Caenorhabditis elegans: one gene and its partner. The protein of the gene in region 2 interacts with the protein of the main gene of each other region in a pairwise test. Each region holds a gene or a part of one and is shown on either strand. Other genes may lie near its edges.

Region 1 (6,101 bases), on a different chromosome or scaffold from region 2:
CGAATGGCGCAGTGGGATTTCCGCCGGCTACCAATCAAGAGACCGGGGTTCGAGTCCGCGGCGTGGCGAATATTTTCAATTTTTTGCCAATTTGATGTGATTTTTAGCAATTTAAAACCTCAAAACCTAGAAATTTAGAACAAAAAGTTTTTGAAAGTTGGGTTTTGAGTCGAAATTATCAATTTTCTAGTTATTTTCTTCTAAAAACGATTTTTCCTATAGTTTAAGATAATAACAATCATCTAGAGGCTTATAAATCAGAAAAATCGAGTTTTAAGCTTTTCGAAAAAAAAAGTGTCCGAATGGCGCAGTGGGATTTTCGCCGGCTACCAATCACAAGACCGGGGTTCGAGTCCGCAATGTGGCAAAAATTTTTATTTTCTATTTGTAGTGGTTTTGAGATGAAATTTGTTATTTTAAAGCTCGAAATTTAAAAAATAAAATATTTTTTTATCCCAAAATTTCAATTTTCTAATTTTTTTAGGCGCCAATTTTTTTTTCCAAAAAATGAGCGATTTTCTATAGTTTTAAAAGAAAAAAAAAAGTGGATTTATTTACAATCAGTATCGAAAATCGAAGATCAATAAAAACAACGAGTTTTCAAAAAAAAGGGAGCTTAGATGAAAAAAAAAGATTAAAACCCGGTGACAACTGGGAGGTAATTCCTGGGTAAAAATAGTGAAAACCGGTCGAAAAACAAGTGAAAATGGGTAAAAAATGATGATTTAAGGCTTATTTAAGGCTTATTTCAGGCAAAAAACGTGGCATTGATAGCCCAATGATCAGATGGGAAGCACAAACAGGAACGGATGCGTTGGCGGCCTTCAAGTGTGAATTTGACTTTGTCCAGTGGTCCAGACCAGTATAGGCGGTCGAATCTGAAAATTTGAAGCTTTTTAGATTTTTTAAAAAATTGAAAAAAATCGATTTTTGTTTATTTTTTAAAAAATGATCGAATGGCTCAGTGCGCTTTTCGCCGTCTACCAATCACACGACCGGGGTTCGAGCCCCCGGTGTGGCAAAATATTTTTTATTTCTTTTTTATTTGTCTCTTCGCTTTTACCTCATCTTAGCGCCATGGAATCCCTGTTTATTGTCATTTTTGAAGGTGTCCCACGTGAATTTTGTCTTATTATCACTGCCGGCAGCCTCCCAGGCATCCTTAACACCGTCAGGCACACGGCTGACCTCCTCGTCTCGTAAGTTCAAATCGCCGCCGAAAAAGACGAGGGCGCCCGGGTTTTGAGCGATGATTTCACGGACTTTGTCCATGCAGAAGCCGAATTGAGCACAACGTTGCGGGCGGTGCTCACGTGTTGATTCGAGATGGGTGTTAAGTAGGAATACCTGCAAAAAACGAGAAAATTGGTTGAGGCTCAGGCTACAAACTACAAAAATTTGTTAAATTTGCCGAAAAGCGAATGATTTTAATAGAAATGTTCAGTTTTCTTTCAAAAAAATCAATTAAAACGAGGAAATTCTTCAGTTTTTTTTCGGGAAAGTGGTTGTGGCTCAGGTTACAAACTACAAACTCGGCTTAGCCTCACCAAACATTTCCGAAGCGAAATCTGATGAAAATACTCGAAATTTCCCTCATTTTTCTTCAAAAAAAGCTCCAAATTTTCAAAATTCTAGGGATTTCCCTCAAAAATCAGAAGAAAAACTGAAAGAATCAGGGTTTTAACCAGAATTCCGAAAAAAAAATTGGTTGAGGCTCAGGCTACAAACTACAAAATCGGCTTAGCCTCACCAAACATTTCCGGAGCGAAATCTGGTGAAAATACTCGAAATTTCCCACATTTTTTCTCAAAAAAGCTCAAATTTCCATAACATTTCATGTATTTCCGACAAAAATCATTGAAAAATTCAAAAAAATTACAAATAAAATTGATTGAAGCTCAGGCTACAAACTACACATTTGGTTAGCCTCACCAAAGTTTCAACGAATTTTTTTCGAACTCACACTACATACTGTGATTTTCAGCTAGAAATTGCAGAATTCTGATTGAAAAAAATCAATTATATCTCGAAAATCTTACAACAAAAAAGAGATTTTCAGGAAGACATAGGGATTTTCCGTAAAATTTGACCGAAAATTGATTTTAAAACCTGAAAATCTAGATTTTTTCAGTGGAAAATCCCATTTTCTGTAAAAATTTGAAGTTTTTTGCAAGAAAAACAAGAGGGAAAACATTTGAGGGGAAAAATTGGTTGAGGCCTACACTACAAACTACAAATGTGGTTAGCCTCAACCAATATACATTTTGCTCGATTTTAAGGTATTTTTTGCGGAAATTGATTGATTTTTACGGGAATTTTTATATTTTGTTTTGAAAAAATGGATTAAAATGCGAGAATTTTTCAAAAAATCTTTTTTTTCAGTAAAAAACTGAAAAATTCGATTATTGCGATAAAAATTGATTGAGGCTCAGGCTACAAATTACAAATTTGGGTAGCCTCAACCATCATTTTCACTCATTTTTAGCGGTTTTCCGGGATTTTTTCTTAAAATTTCGTCTATTTTCTGAAAAATTAACCTTCAAACCGCCAATAGATCCCTCCAAAATCTGCAAAGTTCTGTACATTCCAGAATTCTGAAAATGAATGACGTCATGCTTCTCGACGTCGAACATTTTCGACACAAGAATCGCCGTATAATATTGGCAGCCTTTGTTCGAATAATAGATTTTATACAGCGATTGAAGCTTATCAATCGGCGCCAAATCACGGTCGACGACTTCTTGGAGGAATAGGATGTCCGGATTGACGCTGAAATTTTTTTTTGGCGTTTCAGGTTGATTTTTGAAGATTTTTGACGGTTTTTAGTGATTTTTTTGCTGATTTTGCATCAAAATCAACTAAAAATTTGAAAATTCCGTGAAAAATCGCCGATTTTGCTCACTTTTTGACAATATGAGCCACTGCTTTCATTCTTGTGAGCAAGCTTCTCCCGTCGAGCCCATCAATGTTCCACGACATTACGCTGACTTCGAATCCCTGAAAAAATTTGAAATTTGTTGGAAAAATCGCGAAAAAAGTGAATTTTTTTTTGGTGAGGCTAAGCCGAGTTTGTAGTTTGTAGTCTTAGCCTCAACCAATTTTTTTTTCGGAATTCAGGTTAAAAGCGTGATTTTTTTCAGTTTTTCTAAAGATTTTCGAAGGAAATTCATGAAATTTTATGGAAATTTGAGCTTTTTTGAAGAAAAATGAGGGAAATTTCGAGTATTATGCTTCGGAAATGTTTGGTGAGGCTATACCGATTTTGTAGTTTGTAGTCTTAGCCTCAACCAATTTTTTTTCGGAATTCCGGTTGAAAGCGTGATTTTTTTTTAGTTTTTCTACTGATTTTTGAAGGAAATCTATGAAAATTTATGGAAATTTTAGTTTTTTTGATAAAAAATGAGGAAAATTTCAAGTATTTTCGCCAGATTTCGCTTTGGAAATTTTTGGTGAGGCTCGGCCGATTTTGTAGTTTGTAGCCTGAGCCTCAACCAATTTTTTTTTTCGGAATTCCGGTTGAAAAAGTGATTTTTTTCAAATTTTCAATGATTTCTGTGAAAAATCACTGAAATTTTACGGAAATTGCAGCATTTTTGAGGTTTTTTAACTCGAAAATCGATGTTTTTAGGTGGTTTGGCTTGATTTTGCTCCAAATATTCTTCTATTAACCTTCAAATCCTCTGCCGTCATCACCGCAGCTCCAGAGCTCGCCATAGACGATGAAGCGCCCATTACGGCCGCACTTCTGGCCTCTGCGAACGCCTCACTCCCGTAAAAAACGTCCAGAGCCTTCTTCAAATCCCAGTCTACATCCTGTAAAATCGACTGCGCAAAAGCCTCATCTGTGGCCGTGATTATTGCAAATTCATGCAGTTTTTGCTCGTCGCTCACTGAAAAATCGCGGATTTTCGCCTTAATTTATTGATTTTTCGGGTTTACTCGACGAATTTTTCAGTTTTCCTTGCTCCGGCTCATCTAGAATCTCGATTTCGACCTCGGAATCTTCTTGGGACACTGAAATATATTTTATTTGATTTAAAATTCAAATATTTTGAATTTCCAGCTGCAAAGCCTTACTTTTCTGTCGTTTAGCCTCAATTTCCTGTATTTCATCGTCAGAATTCGACATTTTTGAGCTGAAATTAGAGGATTTTATCATATTTTTTCAGAAAACGCGAAAAATCCACACGATAACTATTGAAATTCAAAAAATCGCGAAAAGAATAACTGAAAAGGCGGAGTCTAGCCGGGGGGCGTACCCTATTTGCAATCCTGGCACGCGTGTTGCAACTGCGGCGCACTTTTACCGAACGTGGAATTTTATATCGCGGATTTGGATCGTTTTTCTTCCCGTTATTTTCCCATTTTTCCTTGGTTTTCTTGCAGAAAATCCATAAAAATAGCAAGAAAAGTGAGTATTAGAGGTTAAAATCGATATTTTCACCATAAAAAAACCCCAGAAAACCGGCAAAAAACGATGAAAATCCGTGTGGAATTTTTTTAGACCTAGTTTCGCAATTTTTTCAATATTATCTTGAAGATTTTGATCTATTTTCGTGATCTTTACTTATTTTATGTGCCATATCCCGATTTTTATACCGAAAACCCGCGAAAATCTAGAGATTCCGATGGAATTGCTTTATTATATTACACGTGGAACTATTTTATTTCTTGATTTCTGCCGGTTTCTTGCTTTAAAATCTTAGAAAATAGCGTTTCAAGTGGGTTTTAGAGCCGAAAATTTAGATTTTCGATAGGAAAATCGCCTAAAAATCGATGAAACCATATTTTTGGCCTACTCCCGCTCTAATTTTGAAACTTTGATCTCGTTTAGGTCGAATTTCAACTAAAAAGTCGAATTTTCCTGTCAAAACACATGAAAATCCAAAATTTTCGTAAAAATATGAGCTCCGGATAAACTTGGGTGAGGCTGAGCCAATTTCGTAGTTTGTAGCCTGAGCCTCACCAAAATTCGGATTCTGTGTTTAATTCTTGATTTCTAGTTGATTTTCGCCGGTTTTTTTTTGCTTTTTTCTTTCTTTTTCTCCCGCAAAACCCAATTTTCCCTTTAAAAAACCCCCGTTTTTTCCAGATGGTGCATTCAAACGGAGCCATCACGAGCACAATTCTGAAGGCTCGTCACGCCGACGTCGTCCGCAAGACGTCACTTCACCACGCCAACGACTTGACACTCATCGATCTCGTGCTCAATGTGCAGCGGCTTTTGGCTCTCCCATCCGACGCGAATTTCGTGTTGAAGTACAAGGATGAAGGTAGGAATTGCACTGAAAATTGCGATTTTAATTCAATTTTTGTCAATTTTAGAAGGCGATTTGGTGACACTCGCCGAGGATAGCGACCTCCTGCTGGCTCTTCACACGTCTGGAGCCACGCTCGACGTGACCGTCGTTGTCGACTCGAGAGCTCGTGAGGCTGTGCACGATGTGCAGAAGCAAGTCGAGCAGATTAAGGTAAGGAGGATTTTGAGCGAAAAAAAACGATTTTTGAGCTGAAAAGCGCAATTTTGAGCGGGAAAATGCAAAATGTTGCAGAATTTTCATCGAAAATGCTGCATTTTTGAGCTTTTTAGACAAAAAAAAATCCGGAAAAACACTGAAAAATGTTGGTTGAGGCTAAGAAACAAGTGTAGTTTGTAGTGTGAGCCTCAACCAAACTAGCCAAAGCTTGAGTGAGGCTATGGTGATTTTGTAGTTTGTAGCTTTAGCCTCAACCAAATTAGCTAAAGCTTGAGTGAGGCTATGGTGATTTTGTAGTTTGTAGCTTTAGCCTCAACCAAATTAGCTAAAGCTTGAGTGAGGCTATGGTGATTTTGTAGTTTGTAGCTTTAGCCTCAACCAAATTAGCTAAAGCTTGAGTGAGGCTATGCAGCTTTTTTTTGTTTATAGTGTGAGCCTCAACCAATTTTGTTTTTAAAATTCACAAAATCTTTGGTTTTTCACTGAAAAATTGGAGAAATTTCAGCGTTTTCATTGATTTTTAAACAAAATTATCCAAATAATCGGTTTTTTTTTTCAATATTTTTAACACAAAATGGCTAAAAATTGGAATTTCTAGTACTACAGCTAGCGAAAAACGAATTT
Region 2 (3,264 bases):
AATGCGTCGTGTGGTGAGTAGTTTTTATACTCCTTATTTTTGGTTTTGTGTAATTTTTAGAATTTTTATCAATATAACAATATTATTTTGTAGTGAACTCTATGACCACAGTTCGTTATGATGAATCTATGATGTATTTCAAAAACTCGTCGGATGGTGCAGTGGAAACGTGGATTTATCGAGCATTGGAAAAAGAAGAAGTTCGTTTAGTTCTCGATGTGACAGCTCCCTGTAGTATTGATATTCAAATGAGCCCTCCAATGACAGTGCAGTTATGGCGTTTTTATGAGGTGAGTGTCTCGATTTATGCTTTTCAGAAATTTATAGTTTCTTGCAGATCGTGTTCTCTCATTTACATGAAGTAGGCGGAACCATGATTGTGATTAGCGTATTCTTCGCTATTTTGGTTCGTGAGACACTGTTCTACAGTACGACGGCTGTTTTGTTGACCAACCTTGTTGCCTTATTTTTTGTGATTCACGGAAGTACAGACTACACGGACACCACTACACTCCCCATGGCTTTGGGATATTTCATGGCACTGGGTTGGAGAGCGATATGCTTTGTCGTTGACTGGCTTATTGTGTCAAGAATTGGATTTGTCAAAACAGGACATTTGGCGCTCCGCGATGACAAGTTAATGAATGGCCTGTACCTGGTTGGATCAGCAATCACAATCATGGCAAGAAATGAGGGATCAATTGTTTTGATTATTCTCCTCGCATATGTTAGTAACCTGGAAAAGTAATACAACTTTTTTAATATTGTTTTTTCTTTCAGCGTCATCATCCACGGGCAGTTCTTCTGATTCTCCCGACATTGATCCCATATATTCTCAAACTGGTCGGCTTCCCGTGGTTCTCGACGGATTCTCTTATCGTGTACCAACTGCAATATCAACCTGCATTTTACGCCGGCGGACTCTATCTCTTCGGTCTTGTTTCAAATCTCGGAAATCGACAGATTACTTTGCGATTACTCGTTTACGGACTTGTGCCAGCATTCCTCTATTTAATCACATCGCCTCTCGAACTATTTTCCGGATTCACCCTCATCATATTCAGCACAGCTCGCTTCGTTACATTCCCATCACGTAAATCTGTCACTCCTCCTGTTCCCGAGCAAGAAAGAGTTCAAGTGGAACAACCACGTCCAATTCAAAACAACAGACAACGCTATAACCTACGAAATAGGAGAAGATAATTTTGTGCCTATACTTTACACCAGTGCTTTTTATACATTTCTACGCCGGTTTTGAGGTTAATTACATGTATAGATAAGATTCTTCCAAACGTGTGGCCAATTGTTTGTCTAAGTTTCCCTTTCCCACCATTCTATTTTCTCATATTCAATTTTTTTATTTCTCTAGTCTTCACTTTTACTACATACTCGTGAATCTTCAAATTTCTTATCCCAGTGTTAAGAAGTTTTATTCGTATTTTTTGGTTTGATCTATTGTTACATGGTCTGTTTTCATATCAATCTTCGATTTAAGTTTTATGTATATATTACCTACATATTATTTATTAGATCTCTGTGATAATGAATATGCTATTAAAACACAATTTACGTGTAAAGTTATTTTACATGGTTCTCATGAGCCTTTTTCTATATCTCAAATTAAATATTATTTACATGTTCACTTCCCTAATGGAAAATAAACCTCAGATGTCTGACATGAGTGACCTCGAAGATGACCAGACAGGTCACTGTGGTTCCGGAGAACACAGCGGGCCGTTTGATCCGAAGCGGCATGCTCGAGAACAGCACAACGCTCTTGAACGACGAAGACGTGATAATATCAAGGATATGTACACAAGTCTGAGAGAAGTAGTCCCTGATGCCAACGGGGAAAGGGTTCAAGCATCGAGAGCTGTCATTCTGAAAAAAGCAATTGAGTCGATCGAAAAAGGCCAATCCGATAGTGCAACGTTGTCAGTTGATGTTGCCGAACAAGAATCAAAAAATGCAAAACTCAGAGAAGAGGTTAGTTAATATTTCTTATTTATGCAATATTGGGGTAACAAAAAATTCTGATAATGCGTATTGCGCAACGTATTTGCCGCGCAAAATATCTCGTAGCGAAAACTACCGTGTTCTTTATATTAATACTGTAGAGCTTAAGTCGATTTACGCGCTCAGTTTTCGAAATGAGTTTATTTTCGAATAGTGACAGCGATACTCCATTTTCCTTTTTGTATTATTTTCTCACTTTTTGATTAATGTTTATATTTTCTCGATAAAAAACTGATTTCAATTTATTCCGAACATCGAGTCCGTAAATCGACACGAGCGCCACAGTAGTCATTTAAAGAGTTACTGTAGTTTTCGCAACGAAATATTTTGCGCGTTAAATATATTGCGCAATAGCATTCCCAGGATATTGCGTTCCTGTAATATAGTTATGTTGAAGTTGATTGAGAATAATTTTTAGAAACTCCCTCCCTCATGCTCATACTTCTGTTGAAACATTTAGTCAATCGCTCTTAGAATCCCTAATAATTCAGATCTACAATCCTGTTTTAATCATGTTTTAAATCATGTTACAGCTCTCATTATTATCGTTGATTGAAATCACGCGGGCTAGCCAACTAATCTCATCAATTTCATTTTCAGATAGCTCGCCTGAAAGCCAAGAAAGATCCGTCATCGTCGCAGTCGATAATTCAATAATAACTACCGTGTATGCATGCTCAATAATGTAATGTAGTACTAACCATTCCAAAATTGCCATAGTACAATAAATGTTTGCATTTTATCCTGACTTTGCACATTATTTGAAAGACATTCTTTAATTTGAAATTTTCTGATTTTTCACGGGATGTTCATTACTGTGCAACTATCTTGATCATAGTCATCAACTTAATCCAACACATTTCAAATGAACTTGGCAATGCTCGTGTGAACATAAAGAGACTGGAAAACAAGTATCGTAGGACAGAGAATACATATGTAAAAATTGTATCTTATAATGTATAATCACTTCTTATCATTCCTGTAATATTAAAGGAACACTAAATTCGTAGAATGCGTATTGTGCAACATATTTGACGAACAAAATATCTCGTATTGAAAACTACAGTAACTTTACAACGATTACTGTGGTACTGGTGTCGATTTACGAGAACTCGATTTTCGAAACGAATTTCTATTCGAATTATTGTGACAGCAGAATTGTGACAGCATTGTTCAATTTTCTTTTTTTTCGTCACGTTTTGTTTTTTTGTTCTCTTATTATTTTACCGATTCACAATTGAGTTCCGT

The links. Proteins that work in one complex are often made in the same cells at the same time.
Region 1: the proteins of mxl-1 (region 2) and tdpt-1 interact in a two-hybrid assay, tested with the Caenorhabditis elegans proteins (one study listed by BioGRID).

What each region holds. Positions count from the first base shown.
Region 1 is NC_003279.8:14,096,955-14,103,055, forward strand, and holds tdpt-1 (5'-tyrosyl-DNA phosphodiesterase), read right to left. Parts: upstream 4,137-6,101; 5' UTR 4,130-4,136; coding exon 4,078-4,129; intron 4,015-4,077; coding exon 3,940-4,014; intron 3,891-3,939; coding exon 3,670-3,890; intron 2,998-3,669; coding exon 2,903-2,997; intron 2,770-2,902; coding exon 2,538-2,769; intron 1,348-2,537; coding exon 1,064-1,347; intron 879-1,063; coding exon 749-878; 3' UTR 538-748; downstream 1-537. Other genes in the region: Protein tfg-1, read left to right, coding at 5,093-5,273, 5,326-5,471.
Region 2 is NC_003283.11:11,243,171-11,246,434, forward strand, and holds mxl-1 (Max-like protein 1), read left to right. Parts: upstream 1-1,668; coding exon 1,669-1,986; intron 1,987-2,616; coding exon 2,617-2,673; 3' UTR 2,674-2,756; downstream 2,757-3,264. Other genes in the region: pgap-1 (GPI inositol-deacylase), read left to right, coding at 1-13, 94-290, 338-727, 781-1,203. UniProt on the Caenorhabditis elegans protein: Transcriptional regulator which binds to the E box motif 5'-CACGTG-3', when in a heterodimeric complex with mdl-1.